Pelodiscus sinensis: one gene and its partner. The main gene of each other region encodes a partner of the protein of the gene in region 2 in a complex. Links are inferred from orthologs where the notes say so. Each region holds a gene or a part of one and is shown on either strand. Other genes may lie near its edges.

The links. Proteins that work in one complex are often made in the same cells at the same time.
Region 1: SNRNP200 (region 2) and SCNM1 share a complex: the UniProt entries of both Homo sapiens proteins name them as parts of the minor spliceosome. The link is inferred for Pelodiscus sinensis from reciprocal best matches to the Homo sapiens genes SNRNP200 and SCNM1.

The regions. Positions count from the first base shown.
Region 1 is NC_134734.1:15,658,547-15,666,586, forward strand, and holds the start of SCNM1 (sodium channel modifier 1), read right to left. Parts: upstream 3,019-8,040; 5' UTR 2,866-3,018; coding exon 2,815-2,865; intron 1,432-2,814; coding exon 1,361-1,431; intron 137-1,360; coding exon 48-136; intron 1-47. Other genes in the region: LYSMD1 (lysM and putative peptidoglycan-binding domain-containing protein 1), read left to right, coding at 3,772-3,951, 5,751-6,052, 7,859-8,018. UniProt on the Homo sapiens protein: As a component of the minor spliceosome, involved in the splicing of U12-type introns in pre-mRNAs. Plays a role in the regulation of primary cilia length and Hedgehog signaling.
Region 2 is NC_134738.1:241,348-248,434, forward strand, and holds the start of SNRNP200 (U5 small nuclear ribonucleoprotein 200 kDa helicase), read right to left. Parts: upstream 3,010-7,087; 5' UTR 2,897-3,009; coding exon 2,852-2,896; intron 115-2,851; coding exon 1-114. UniProt on the Homo sapiens protein: Catalyzes the ATP-dependent unwinding of U4/U6 RNA duplices, an essential step in the assembly of a catalytically active spliceosome. Plays a role in pre-mRNA splicing as a core component of precatalytic, catalytic and postcatalytic spliceosomal complexes.

The DNA.
Region 1 (8,040 bases), on a different chromosome or scaffold from region 2:
CAGGATCAGCAGTTCCTTGAGCAACCGAGCCCTTGGGGCTGACTTACTAGCTACATGTTTCTTGCCAGCCCTGTGGACTGTCAGCATGTCAAGTGTGTCGAAGACCGGACGGTGGAAACACACTGTGCAGGCATATCTGAGGAAGAAGAGGAAAGATGGTCAGATCAAGCCAGGATAATCCCTGCCCCCTCATGCATACCTGCTAGGGCAGTTGGGCCCAGCCTTTCTTATTAGCATTAAGAGACAGTGCACTTGGTAATACTGCAAGTGGGAGAGACATTCACTAGAATAAATGACCATGGTCCTCAAAGTCATTCAACACAGTGGGATTTCTACAAATATAATTGGCCAAGGTTCCCAGAGCACAGCTAGCCAGGATAAATGTTACTACCCCATCTTACACGTGGGGAAGCTGAGAGATTTGCCCAACAAGTCATGATTCCCACACCAGTGTCCTGGATGCTGGACCACATGCCCTTTATTTTATCATCTCCAGTTTGAAATTTAGGGAAACAGGTCAGAACTTAAGTGACAACCAAGGAGAGTCAAGAACTGAAACCCAAATTCCTGGCCCCATGGCCACTGGTTTATGCTCATTCTCTGCTAGGCATTTAAAAGTTTGAAAGCTGTATTCACTCTGTTCGCTTGTTATGTTGCACATGATTTCTACTGCCCTGTACTGTTCTGTAGTAATCCCTCACACCTCGGTGACACCTGTCTGAGTCTGTAATATTAGCCAGAGGCTCTCTTGGGGGCATGTGGCTCTTTTATATCTGAAGGGAAACAGGAACTCTCTGCAAAGCCAAAATGAAAACTAACCCAAAAAACAAAACACCCCAGATCAGCCTCAATGCACTGCACCCTGGATTTTGGTGGTGTTTCAAGTCCAAAGCTAGATCCAGGTTTATGTTTTACAGACCATCTTTATTTTTATAATGGGCCTGAGCAAAACATTTCTGAATGCTGGAAATCCAGATCAGAACATTTAATAAACACCACCACCCCTAGGCGAGCTCTTATCAAGTGCTTTTCATCACTAGATCTCAAAGCACTTGAGAAAGGAAGGGCAGCATTGTTATCCCCATTTTACAGATGGAGAAACTAAGGCACCGAGTGATAAAGGGATTTGCTCATGGACACAAAAGAGGTTTGTACCAGAACAGGAAGAATCCAGGTGTCCTGCCTCCCACTTTGGTACTCTGTGCATTAGGTCACGTGGTCAATTTTGCAGCTTCAGCCCCCCAAATATATGCAGTAATCAATTAATTGAACTGGTTCAAAGATTCATCTGTAATCTGATTCCTATGGCACATGGTCCTCTCAGAACAATGCTGCCTACCTTAGAATAGATCTAACATACCTGCCGCTCCTTAGCAACAGTGCCTCATCCTCAGGGATATAGTTTGCCAGCAGATCTGCAACTCTTCTTTTCTGAATAAATGAACAGGCCACGTTACTGAGGAATCAATATTTTGGGTGTGGGCGGCATAGCACCTGGCACCAGGATGAATTGGGCCCTTCCATGAAAAATGAGTCACGGACCATGAAACCTAGCCGTCCATTGTGAAATCTGGCCTTTTGTTTGCTTTTATCCTATACTATACAGATTTCATGGGAGACATCAATGTTTCTCAAATTGGGGGTCCAGACCAAAAAGGGAGTTGTGTGTGTGTGTGTGGGGGGGGGGGTGTCATGGTAATGCCACCCTTATTTCTGCGTTGCCTACAGTTGAGTGGCCATAGAGCCATGGCTGTTGCTGGGCACCCAGGTCTGAAGGCAGCATCCTGCAAGCAGCAGCACAGAGATAAGAGAAGCAATACCATGCCATGCCATCCGTACTTCTGTGCTGCTGCTGGCAGCAGCTCTGCTTTTAGAGATGCTCAGCTCTGAAGGCAGCACTGCCACCAGGAGCAGTGCAGAAATAAGGGAAAAGTACCACAGTCGTCCCTTCCCCCCACAACTCCTGCTGCAATTACAACACCTTGAAATTTCAGATTTAGATAGCCAAAATAAGTAAATGTATTATTTTAAAAATCCTGTAACCATTAAATTGACCAAAATGGATTGTCATTTTGATAGGGGCCTATAGAACAACCACCACCACCTCTAGATCTTATCTAGTGCTTTTCTACTGTGGGACTCAGAGCACTTTACAAAGGAGGCTGGTATTATCATTATTACAATTTTACAGATGGGAAAATTGAGGCACGGAGCAGGGCAGTGAAATGCCCAAGGTCATCCTGCAGACCAGTGGCAATGGCTAAGAATAGAAGCAGGAGAAGGGGGCCAGAAGGCAGGCGCCAAGGGCTGAGGAGTGTTGTGGGACCACTCTGGGGATGGGGAGTAAAGGGGAGGGGGGAGTAGCAGGGAAGCAGCCGGGTGGTCGCTCTGGGGCTGGGGGGAAGGGTTGGGAGGAGGGCAGGCGATTGTTTGGGGGACGGGAGAGCAGGGGGAACAATGTGGGGGCAGGAGAGTGTCGGGGGGGGCAGGGGAATGGCTGGGGGAGGATGGGAGGCCGGCAGGGAGTTGAGGCGATTGTTTTGGGGAGGGGGCGTGGCGGCGCTGAAGGGGGGGCGGGGAGAGGCTGGGAGGGGAAGCAGGGGGCGCTCTGGGGCTGCGGGAAGGCTGAAGGGAGGACAGGGGAACGGGGCTGCCAGGAGTTGGGAGGGGCTGCGGGAAGAGCCAGCGGGGCGGCGTTGGGGAAGCTGAGGGGCTCAGGGAGTTGCTCTGGGGATGAGGAGAGTTGTGGGGCCCGTGGTGGTTGGGGGGGGTCGGTCGGGGGGCGGAGCCGGGGTGTCCCGCCCCGCCGCTCACCTGCAGCACATTCAGCTGGCCCGAGTCATCCCCCTCCCGCTTGAAGGACATGGCGGCGCCCCGGGAGGGCTAGACCCCTTCCCAACCGGCGGTAACCATGACAACTGGAGCCACCCCGCACTTCCTCTTCGGTTCACTTCCGGGACTACCCTTCCCAGCATGCCTCTGGGCGCTCGGCACCGATAGGCCTCTGGGGTCAAAACCGCCGTGATGCGTGGAGAGGGCTAGAAGGCGAGGGGCATGCTGGGAAATGTAGTCCTCACCCACGTCTCTGCTTCCGCGAGGCGACGCTTGTGGCTGGGTTGGGGGGGAGGGGGGAGATGTTCCCCGCTGTGCTTCTCCTGTGGCCTCCAAAGGGGCGGAGCGTTGTTAGGCGGGGAGGAGCTTGCTAGGGAGAGACTATGTTCCCAGAGGCCTTTGCGCGGAGTGGGCGGGGGTTGGCCCCGCTCCGCTGTTGGGGCGGGGCGGAGCGGAGGCAGCGCAGACTCTGGCTGCCCTGCGCGGGGTGGCGGGGTCCGTGGGGTGGCTGGATTCCGGGGGGAGGGGAGAGTAATTTGCCCCTCCCCCCGAGTAAAGGGGGGGCGGCGCGGATGAGATAGAGGAACCCCCCCCCCTTATCCCTCTCCGGCGGAAGGGGTGGGGAGGAAATCGAGGGACCCCCTGCACCCCCATCCGTGCAGGCTGCGTTTTGCAGTGTGGGGCGGAAATTGGGTGGCCCCCTGCCCTGGACTAGAGGCCGAGAGGGGGGAGAAGAAGCAAGACCGGAGAGAGACCCTTTGGGGGGGGGCTAGAAGCGGGGGGGCTAGAAGTGGGGGGTCCCTAGTCTGCCTGGGAGGCCCTTGTTCGTTCTGCCATGAGCACCCCTCAGGAAAGAGGGTGCTGGCAGGAGTCCTGACCCCTCCAGGCCCCTCTGCCGCCTGCACTGGTTGCACCACTGACTGGGGGCTGGGGGGGGAGATGGCCTCCCCCTCCAGGCAAGGATCCCCTGGAGGGGCTGGTTTGCTCTGTGGCAGCAGGACCCGGTCCTACGGCAGCCTCATCAAGTCGACACACTCCCCGGTGAGGGAGAGGAGGGTGGAACATCGTCTGGAGCCGGGGGACACCTTGCAGGGGCTGGCACTCAAGTATGGCGTCACGGTAGGTCTGCGCAGCAGCTTCCCCTTGCGATCTGGGGGATGTAGCTGGGGTGCCCATGAGGTCCCACTGTTGGAGCAGGGGGCAGTACCAGGACTCCTGGGTTCTGTTCCCAGCTTTGGAGGGGAGTAGGGTCTTGTGGATGGAGCAGGGAACAGGAAGCCATGTCTTCTGGTTTCTGGTCACCACTCTATACCTTTTTCTCCGTTTTATAAAAAAAGCTATTCCCATGGATGTACCTTTTGTAAAGTGCTCGATACCTGACCTGTCCCGGCTTCCCTTCTTTCTTGTGTCAGCCCTGATCCTGCAGCTTGGGGCCTCATTGATTTCCACTGATTAGGGGGACCCCATTTTGTACTGTGCTTTGTGTGTCTTGGATGAGGAGTTCTGCTAAAATACTCAGCATTACTGCTTTTTTGTTTGCTGAATGTCTGGGGTGAAGTAGGGAGGCTCCCATCATGAGCACCCCTAAGAAGAGGGGCTGCTGGCAGGAGTCACCTCTCTTGCGTCCAGGCACCTCTGATTCCCCTGTGGTGGGATCTCCTGGTTCTTGGCTGAGGCTCCTAGAGGCTTCTGCAATACACCTAATGATTCATAATAGTTTATGGCACTCCAGAAGGGGATTGGCAGAAAATCAAAGCCATAGTCCAGCGTCCTGATCATGGAACTTGGAGTGGGCACCCCACTGGGGTCCTCGGAGTATGGGTGGATGCACGGGAGGGCTGAAAGTCTGAAGTCTCATGCAGATTTAGGTCTGAGGGTTCCAATCCTTCAATTGCTGTCTCCTCATGGTTGCCCAGGTGTGCTGTTGCCTCTTCATGTGGCTGATGGGATCCGGCTAATGTGCACTTGTGCATTCACATGAACTTGCACCCTTCTCATTTCCTGTATTTTGCAACTTTGTGTTCTGTGGCCCCAAGTGGTTTTCACAGGAGTTCAGTGTATGCAGCAGAAATTCCCCTGGTGATGGGAACAAAATCCCCCCCCTCCCCCACACACACATATCCGGCTGGGCCGGGCCAGCTTTGCTGTCTGTGGTGTGGTCAGGCAGTAGTGGCCCTCAGCAGTTTAAACCTTGATAGGCCTGGAGCCTGACCACAGCAATTCATTCTTCCCTAGAACACATGCATGCTGCTCGCTGCAGGAGTGCCTTGCCGTGCAGCTGGAGGGGCAGGGAAAGAGGGGAGCTTTCTCTGGGGCTGCCAGCCAGGGGGCCAGCTTTATTTCAGTGCCAGTGCTGAGAACCTGCCAGCTCATTTTGCAGGGACCTAATGAGCAGCCAGTAAGGTAGAAAGGAGGGTTTTTTGGTCTTTGGGCTGGAGATGAGGCATGTGCCGTGGTGAAGGGTTTCCAGGTTGTCTTTCCTCATCCCTCCCACCCCCAGCAGAGCATAGGAGACCGGTGGGGTGGACCCGCTAGCAGACTTGTCAATGGCATGGCCCTCTCCCCTCCAGTGAGAGAGCACAGACTCATCTGGCTGCATTGAAACCTGAGCCTCAAGCATGCGGAGTCTGTCCCCCCACATCCTCAACATTAAATCTCTAGTGACCTCCAGCCCTTCTCCCTGCCAGCACAAACCCAGCATTTGCAGTCCAGGCCAGCTGTGTGCCTGCTTTCTCTCATTGTGTGGTGTTCTGTTTGCTTACTGGTGCCCTCCACCCCAGAAGTGGCTGCATTTTGGTAGTGACTGATATTAGGCACCCAGCTTGCAAAGTAGCTTTTAGGACCATGCTCTGAATAGAGAAGGTTGGTGATGTCTGTCGCAGGCTAGTGGGCTTACAAGTCTTATGGTGCCTTCCCAGATGGAGCAGATCAAGCGGGCAAATCGTCTGTACACCAGTGACTCCATCTTCCTCAAGACGACACTGCACATCCCTGTCCTGGTGGAGCCCGAGGAGATGGTGAACGGCTTAAAGCGGGAGGAAGGAGCCACACAGCCTGCCACGGGAAAGGAGACGCTGGTGCTGAAAAACAGCTCTGCGGCCAGCGCAGGCTCCACCCCCCGTCATGACCTCTCGGCCACGGATTTCTTACGAAAGCTCGACTCCGAGATCAATCTGTCCAAGAAGGCCGCGGTGAAGAAGCTGAGAGAGGGGGAAACAACGTGAGTGCCACCCTGCAGTTACTGTGGCGCTAATGTGGTGCCCGGGCTGTATAGGCAGGGGGTGGAACCCCAGTCCTGTTGCTCCAGCACATAGGCCCCTGCTAACAGCATAGAAGGAGAGTCTCTGCCGGCTGCCCTTGTGTTTGCTCTGATATCCTCTGTGGGCTGCTATGGGCAAGGGGACCCCACAAGTTTCAGCTGCCTCCCATAGGAGGCGCAGTGATGCCCGAGCACCCGCAGCTCAGGTTTGACAAACCCATGGGGGGGGGGGGAGAAATGAAAACCCTGTCAAATCAAGTGCTGTGCTCATTTAAAAAGAAAGGAGCCCGCAGCCCGAAACCTGTGAGACCCCACTCATGTCCTGCCCCTTAGCCTGCTCCTTCCCCACTGGCCCAGACTTAATCAGGAGTCCCCAAGAATGGTCTCTCTCATTTTTTCCCATCCACTTGAGGAATATATTTTATATGCACCAAGGCATGTGTCAGTGTGCACCACCAATAGAAACATGCTGCCAGCTGTTTGCACTGGAGGGCACTCTGCTAATCCACTGGGTGGCATTTGAATCTCTCTTGGGTGGTCACCTCGGGGCTCAGCTTTCAGGGAACACTGGTCCCCAAGGCTAATGGGCAGTATCCTGGTGGGGGCTGACGTGAAGAGAGCTCAGGCCTGAGGGGGACGGCGAGGGGTTCTTCATTGCTGACTGGGCAGAGGTGATGTATGCCCCAGGCTTTGGCTGCTCCGGGCCTCCCCAACCCCCATCCTGCCCCTCCTCGTGCTGTACAGTGGCCAGGCAAGTGCAGATGCCGCTGGCGTTGCAGCTAGGGATCCGGCGCGGGGAGGAGAGGCTTGATTGCGCGTGAATGACGAGGAGTTATCTGAAGGTGATGAACAGCCGCGCACGGCAGCGTGATGCTGTTTGGCCCCTCCCTGCCCCCCCCCCCCCCTCATCTCCTATTGGCGCTGTGCTGGCAAGAGCTAAGAAATCGTGTCCTGCCAGGCTCGTGCTGCGCACTGCCGAGGTGGGAAGGAATTCACCAGGGTCCCAGGCTGTTTCCTGGGTCCCTCCAGGGGAAACGGCCCTTGGTCGCTCCTGAGGGGGAGGACACGCTAGGTGGGATGGATCCAGTCTGTCACTGTCTGTGGCTCACGGGGCAGAGGTCCCCGTATGGCTTGGATTGTTAGAAACCGCCGGGTTCTTGTCCTCCCCTTGGTGCAGAGCTGCAGGGGGATCCGCTGCCAGTGCCTTGGCTCAGAGCGTAGCTGGAGGAGCCTGTGGCCACTGTCTGGCCCCCCACTGGCTGCTGTACAGGGAATCCCCGGCTCCGAAGCCAGCTCCGCTAGACTTGGGGGCCACTAGAGGGCGCCGTTGCCTGCGGTGAAGTTCTCTGCTCGGAACTGAGCAAGGTTCCAGCCCCTAAATCCGCACCCGCAGCCCCCTCCTTTCCCAGCCCTGGGCTCCTGGCCCTCAGTCTTAGCCCCAGGCCATGGCCCCCCCACCCTGCCCCCAGTTCTGCTGGTTCACACTCTGCCCGAGGTTCCCGAGCCATGTGAGGGTTTTGTTGGCTTTGAACAAAGATCCCACAGAGCTTCTACAGTCGTCCCTCCTTCCCATCTGTACTCGGTCCTCTCCGGTCTATTGCACCCCTAGGAATCCCGCCCTGCCCTGGATCCTTCCCAGCCCCAGCTGTGGGCACTGTGCTGGGTCACACATTCCCTAGCAAGGCACAGCAGAGGGATCCCCGAGCAGGGTCTGTCTGTGGGGGCCATTCCCCTGCCGAGATCTAACCCCCTCTTCTCTCCCTGCAGAATTGCTGGGATGGAGCCAGGAGCAAGCAGGACCATTCCCTGTCGGAGCGAGCCCTCTCCTTCCGCTCAGCAGCGCTCCCTGCTGGGCCCCGTGCCGCTCACCAAAACCACGCGGGCCGCCACGTTGCGGGACAAAGAGGACGAGATCTTCACACTCTGATGGGCAGTGTTGTCTTGCCTCT
Region 2 (7,087 bases):
CCCCATTCGAGTGCCCTCCAGCTTCCCAACCAAGGAGAGCACTTCCCCTGTAGGCTCATCTCGCCTGGTCCTGTCGATCAAGGAGCGATCAGCTTGCAGTACAAGATTAGAATTCTGAAAGGGATAACATCACAAGAGCAGATAAGAGGTGTGAAGAAATCAAACAAATTCCTATACATTATCCTCATTACTGTGGTGCCTAGTGTCATAAGCCAAGACCCTGTGGTGCCAAGTGCTATACAAACAAAAGACAATCTCTGCTCCCAAAAGCTTACAATCCAAGTATAAAACTAGGAACTCCTCATGGATACAACTAGCACAGCTTAAAGAATCAATGAGTTAATATTGACAATCAATAGTGGTCTCAGCACACTAGCAATCAAGCTTTTTGTAGGCCTCACGGCAAAAAACAGTTTTGAGAAGGGATCTGAAAAGAAATGAGGTAGCTTTGCAGATATTTATAAGTAGTGTCACAAGGAAAAGGGTCAGTACAGGGAAAGCAGGGCAATGCTTGCCTGGAAATTTAAGAAGTCGATGGTAGCAGTAGCCAACCAGAAGTAGGAATCAACTATTCAAGAGCAAATTAGAGGGAGAGAGGGAAATGACTTCAAACGCCTAGAAAGCATATACAAGTAGCTTATACACTTCAGAAGGTAGTCATGTTAGTCTGTAACTGAAAAAAAAAAATGTAAAAAACAATAATCCTGCAGCACTTTAGAGACCATCTATATTTTTTGTTAGTTGCTAAAGTGCTGCAGGACTCTGCTTTTTAATTTTTTTTACCAGTAGCTTATGTTGGATATAATAAAGAAAATTAACCCAGTGAGGGATGCAAAGAAAGGAATGGTATGACAAACTGGGGGCTTTTATTCACTTTATGATGTCGCATGTGAATGCTACTGTCCTATGGTAATCCCATGTGTGTGCCTCAGTTTCTCACAGCACTACATCAATACCTAGATAGTGAAAATACAACCCAAAATTCCCATAGCTGAAGGCAGCTACCCCAGCTGCCTACATGTACACAATGGCTGAAGCCCTTTGTAACCTAAGCGGGGTGGGGGAGAAAGAGCACCTGCTGCCCAGGAAGCAGGACAAAAACTGGAGAAAAGGCCAAGCTGGGGACTGGGACAAGACTGCTGGGGATGTAGATTAATCTCAGCTATTTTAGGGAAGCAGGGGGATAGTGTTCCCTGTAGACTGAGTGCTTGGGCAGCTGCCCAGCAGAGATTCAGATGCTGCCCAGCTGATTAGCAGAGTGCCCACAGCATGTGTTTCTATTGGTGGTGCACATCTGCACATTTCTCAGTGCACATACATTTATTTCACTCAACAATGGAAAAACTTAGCGGGAACCTTGCAGGGGGAGGCCCTGGCTCTGCCCTCCCCCCCACATGACAGATTGCAATAACTGCTTCTGGTTGCTCTGCTGACAAGCCTGTTCTACGCTATGTCCCTGTTGCCTAATAAATCATGGGGCACTGGGACAAGGGTGCTATGGTAATACTGGCCCAGTCTGAGGTGGTGGCACCAGACTTGATGATGCCCAATGCCCACCTGACTTTGACATGCATAGACAGGACCCCATTCAAGGTACCCATAGCAAGAGTACCTGAAATGGGGGGGCTAAAAGGGCCCAAAAGAGGTGGAGGTGCACCATCACTTGCCCACTGGGGTGCTGATGGGGAGTGATCTGGAAGAAGGACCCCACAGTGTTCTGGTCACTACCCTTAGCCAAAGCCAGCAAGAGGCACTCTGCCCTGGTGAGGGTAACCTGAAGGGGGCACAGGGCCCTACACTGGCAGAAAATTCCCAACAGCCAGGCTTGGCATTGCTGTGATGTCAGACCCAGGCTGTGAAGGGGAACAGGTCTCCATCCCTTCCCTGGCTGCTAAACTCAAGGCTGAGTTGCAGAAAGATCCCTCCTTACAGAAGCTGAGGGACCTGGCTGGCCTCAGTGCAGCACAACTGCTGGGGGAAGAATGCAAGGAGAGGTTCCTGTGGTTGAAGGGATTCCTGAACCGGGAATGGATTCCATCCCCAAGGGAAGTGGAGTCATAGCAGGGGGTGGGGGTCCAGCAGCAGTAGGTGATTCCCAAAAAGTACCTTGGAAGGCTACTGTACCTGACCTGTGACATCCCACTCTCGGGAAACCAGGGTCTCCAGCACACCAGGCAGTGGCTGCTACAGAACTTTTACTGGCCTGGAATCTTTGATGCTATCCAACAGTCCTGCAACCCTTACCACAGGATAGGGAGGGCCCAGGACAAGGGGAAAGCCAACTTGAGGCCTCTGCCAATCATAAGAGGAGCCTTTCCAGAAGATGGCTAAGGATATAGTGGGACATTTCAGGAAAGCCACCCAAACTGGGAAGATTTCACTACTCACTACTCTGAGGCAGTGGCTCGGTCTTCTATTGAGGCAGACACACTGCTAACCATTTTCAGCAGAGTGGGGTTTCCCAAGGAGGTCCTTGCAGACCAAAGGTTCAACTTTATGTCAGCCCTGCTCTGGTGCTGGTGGGAGAAGTTTGGGGTGTGAAATACGCAGCCTCAGCAGGCTGGGGCGAGGCTCAATGGGACACTAAAGCAGATGCTAGAGACCTTTATGCACCAGCACCCACAGGGCTGGGACAAGTCTTTACCCCACCTGCTGTCCACGGGAGTCTCCCCGATTGAGCGCGAGGCCCCTGGACCTGCTGAGGGAGCAGGCGGGCAGGCCTCCCCCGAGGGGGAACCGGAGTGAGGAATGTACCGGCCGCCCGAGAAAAGCTCGGCAGAGCCTAGTCGTCTCCCCCAAAACCGGGCGCCCGCGCCCCTCTCCGGGGACTGCTCTCCCCGCCCCCACTCACCGCCTTGTATTCGTACTGCAGGCTCCGCGCGGTCACATCAGCCATGGCGCCGCCTCAGCTACCCGGCCCCGGCCGCGACCAAGCGGAAACGCAGCACCGCACGCACGTCCGAACCAAGGCAGCAAGTACTTCCGGAACACCCCGGAAGTGCTGAAGAACGAGCCGTTGCTTCTCAAGAGGCCCTCTCGCCCATACGTCATCACCCCCGGCCAGGGGGCCATGCGATATTACGTCATGGGTCCGCCCCCGAAGAGCTGGCCCTGGCCCGAACACGCCCCGCGTTGCCTAGCGACGGGCCGGGCTTTGTGTCCATCAGGCGTGCGCGTGCTCAGATGGCAGGAAGCGCCCACGTGGCCCCCGAGGCGGATCAGCTCCCGCTTGCAGGGTGGGCAGAGTTTCAATGCGCATGGCCCCAGGGCTCCTGGCCCCCCGGAGCATTGGTCTGGTCTGGGCGGGGCAGGGCTCCTCCTCTTCGCGGTTTTGTTTGGATGCGAAGAAGCTGGCGGGGGATGCAGGGAAGCGCGCTGCGCAGCGGTGTCCTGCTGGGCGCAGTGCGGGTGGCGGGGCGCAGGCGAGGCGGTGCTGGCTCCTGGGAGGGGTAACTTTCAGCTGGCACAGAGCCCATGCCCCTTAGCCCTTTTATTGACCTCTCGTAGCCCCAGGCAACAGCTGGGCCATGGACATTCCGGGTTCGCAGGTACAGCCCAGAACCCAGGCCCCAGCGCAGGTACAGCTGAGAAGCCAGATCCTGGGGTGGGTACAAATGAGCATCCAGCGCAGGTGTAGTCGAGAACTCAGGGTGGGTACGGCCCAGAACCCAGACCCTGGGATAGGTACAACTGAGAATCCAGGGCAGGTATAACCTAAGACCCCAGGCCCTGCGGTGGGTACAACCCAACCCAGAGCCCGGGGTAAGTACAGTCGGGAACCTAGGGTGGGTACAGCCAAGAACCCATGTAGATACATCTCATTAATCTCTGTATTAATTATTTTCTCATTGACATTTTTATCAATTGACTCTGTATCAAGTTCTTTTAGCATTGTATTACGTCTTTAGCTTTGTTACATTAAGTCCTTTTATATAGAAACTTTGTATACTTTCATATAGAACATAGAAACTTTGTATTAAGTCTTTTTACATAGAAACCTTGTATCTTGTAGACTTTGTACCCCGTTTTGCGTAATTGATTGTCCTATTGAGTGAATGAGGTGTGAATGGATAAGGCATGAAAGACAACCACCTCTGGACACTTGCAAAGGTTGGAGAGGGGTGGAAGCCAGATCCAAGAACAATGAGAAGAACAATGGGATCTGTGAAGTGGGCTCATTGAAAGATGAGTGGACATATGGACACTTTGGGAGTCAGCAGCAAGTGCCAGCTTTTGGAAGCACCCTCTTTGAAGGAGAATGTGGCAGCATTGAGACACCACCCAAAAGAAGGTGCCACAGATGTCTTAACTGCATATGAAGCAAAATGCAGGACAATGTAGCACTTTAAAGACTAACAAGATGGTTTATTAGATGATGAGCTTTCGGAAGTGGGTCTGGCCCACAAAAGCTCATCATCTAATAAACCATCTTGTTAGTCTTTAAAGTGCTACATTGTCCTGCATTTTGCTTCAACTACCCCAGACTAACACGGCTACATTTCTATCACTTAACTGCATATGCATATGATGACTCTTACAGATGATGCATATGCATGTGATGACCAACTGGTGGAGATCTGCAGGAGAGGGAAGACACTATAAATCTAAGGCATCTTGCAGAGGGACCCTGGGTTTTTGTCTTGTCAACATGGGAGCACCTACCCAGATCTGCAGAAGCCCTCTACCCCTCCCCCACCTAACTCACCTGGCCAGTGCAGTTAGAGGGAACAATTATTGGTAACAACAAGAAGATGGGGTGTGCTTGTGTTATCATATGCATATGATAAGTGTTGATTGATATATGTGCTACCAATAAATATGGTGTTTTGCCTTTTTGCCCTGAAAAGATCTCAGGGTACGTCTACACTACAGCGCTAGTTCGAACTAACTTAGTTCGAATTAGTTAATTCGAACTAAGCTAGTTCGAACTAACGCATCTAGAACTAAAAACTAGTTCGAACTAGCGTTTTGCTAGTTCGAACTAGTAAGTCCACATTGAGTGGACTCTGAACAGGGCTTAAGGCTGGCCGGAAGCAGTGCCGGCAGGGCATAAAAGGAGGACTTAGAGCATGGAGATGCTGTCTCAGGCTAGCCGAGGGCTGCGCTTAAAGGGTCCCGACCCCCACCCCGGACACACAGTTCTCAGGGGTGCCCCGCTTGCAAAGAAGTTCTGGCTTGGAGTGCCCTGAGTGCCCACACTGAGCACATCACACCACTCGGCCATCACCCCGGCTGCACTTGCCGCAGGCTGCCATCTGGGGAGAGGGGGTAATTGGGGGGCAGCAGGAGAGCTTCCACCCCCAGAAGCCCGCAGAGCCAGCCCAGTCCTCGCCATCGGGGGCTCGTACCCCATACCTCCCTCACCTCCTTCCACTTACCCTTCCCTAGCCCCCCTTCTTATTGATGTACAAAATAAAGATAACGTTTCTTCCAACATTGACTCTGTCTTTATTGAAAAAAACTGGGGGAGACTGGGAAAAGGAGGTGGGAGAGGGGAAGAGAAAGGCTGGGAGAGGGGAGGGCAACTAACATGATCAGGGGTTGGGAACAGGTCCCAGATGAAGAAAGGCTACAGAGACTGGGACTGTTCAGCTTAGAAAAGAGGAGACGGAGGGGGGACAGGATAGAGGTCTCTAAAAGCAGGGGTTGGGTGGAGAGGGTGCATTCAGAAAAGTTCTTCCTGAGTTCCCATAAAGAAGGACTAGAGGACACCAAAGGAAAGGAATGGGTAGCAGGCTTGAAACTAGTAAGAGAAAGTTGTTGTTGTTGACAAAGCAAATAGTTAACCTGTGGAACTCCTTGCTGCAGGAGGCTGTGAAGGCTACAACTAGAACAGAGTTTAAAGGGAAGTGAGATCAAGTCATGGAGGTTGGGTCCATGGAGTCCTATTAGCCAGAGGGTAGGAGTGGTGTCCCTGCCCAAAGTTTGTGGAAGGCTGGAGAGGGATGGCACGAGACAAATGGCTTGGTCATTGTCTTCGGTCCATCCCCTCCAGGGTCCCTAGGGTTGGCCGCTGTTGGCAGACAGGCTACTGGGCTAGATGGACCTTTGGTCTGACCCAGTACGGCCATTGTAAGCTCAGGGCTCAGTGTCGGGGGTCTCAGTGGACCCCCTTGATTTTCATGCACACCTGGTCCTGGGTGGCCAGGCTGGCAGCTCTCCTGCCCTAGACGGCCACTTTCCTGTGCCTAGTGCGGAGATCGTGGACGAGGTCCACGATGTCCGCACTAGCCCAGGAAGGTGCCCGCCTCTTGCGGTCCAGGGCAAGCTCCCGGGAGCCGCCAGCCTGGTCCCGGCAAGAGGGGGTGGGCTGGGGGGCATCGGGTGGGTGGCTCTGTGCCGTGCCAGGTGCAGGGTCTGCTAGCTGGGTGCTGGCAGGCTTGCACCTGGCACGGGCACCGTAGCCAGCCCGTGCCCCTTTAAGGGGTCCGGGGCCGGGAGGGGGGCATAGAGTTTCCCTGGTGTTGGCCAGAGTGGCCACCAGGGAAACCTGGGGAGGGCTAGCCTCCCACTAGTTCGAACTAAAGGGCTACACAGCCCTTAGTTCGAACTAGCTAGTTCGAACTAGGCGTTAGTCCTCGTAAAATGAGGTTTACCTAGTTCGAACTAAGCGCTCCGCTAGTTCGATTCAAATTCGAACTAGCGGAGCGCTAGTGTAGCGCATAGGAAAGTTAGTTCGAACTAACGTCCGTTAGTTCGAACTAACTTTCTAGTGTAGACATACCCTCATGCAGTACTCTTAAGGACAACACCCATGCCCTGGGATGGGTACAGCTGAGAAACCAGGGCCTGGAAAAGGTACAGGTGAGAAACCAGGGCAAGTGTGGCCAAGAACCCAGGACTTGGGATGGATACAGTTGAGAACCCAGGTACAGGGGCAGGAATAGCTGAGAACCCAGGGCAGGTATGGCCGAGAACCCAGGCTCCAGTGGTGGGTACATCTGAGAACCCAGGGCAGGTATGACTGAGGGCCTGTGGCCTGGGGTGGATATAGTTGATGGTGCGGGGAGGTGAGTATGGCCAAGGGCAGGTATGGCTGAGGACACAGGACATGGGGTGGGTACACCCAAGGACCTGAGGCAGGTAT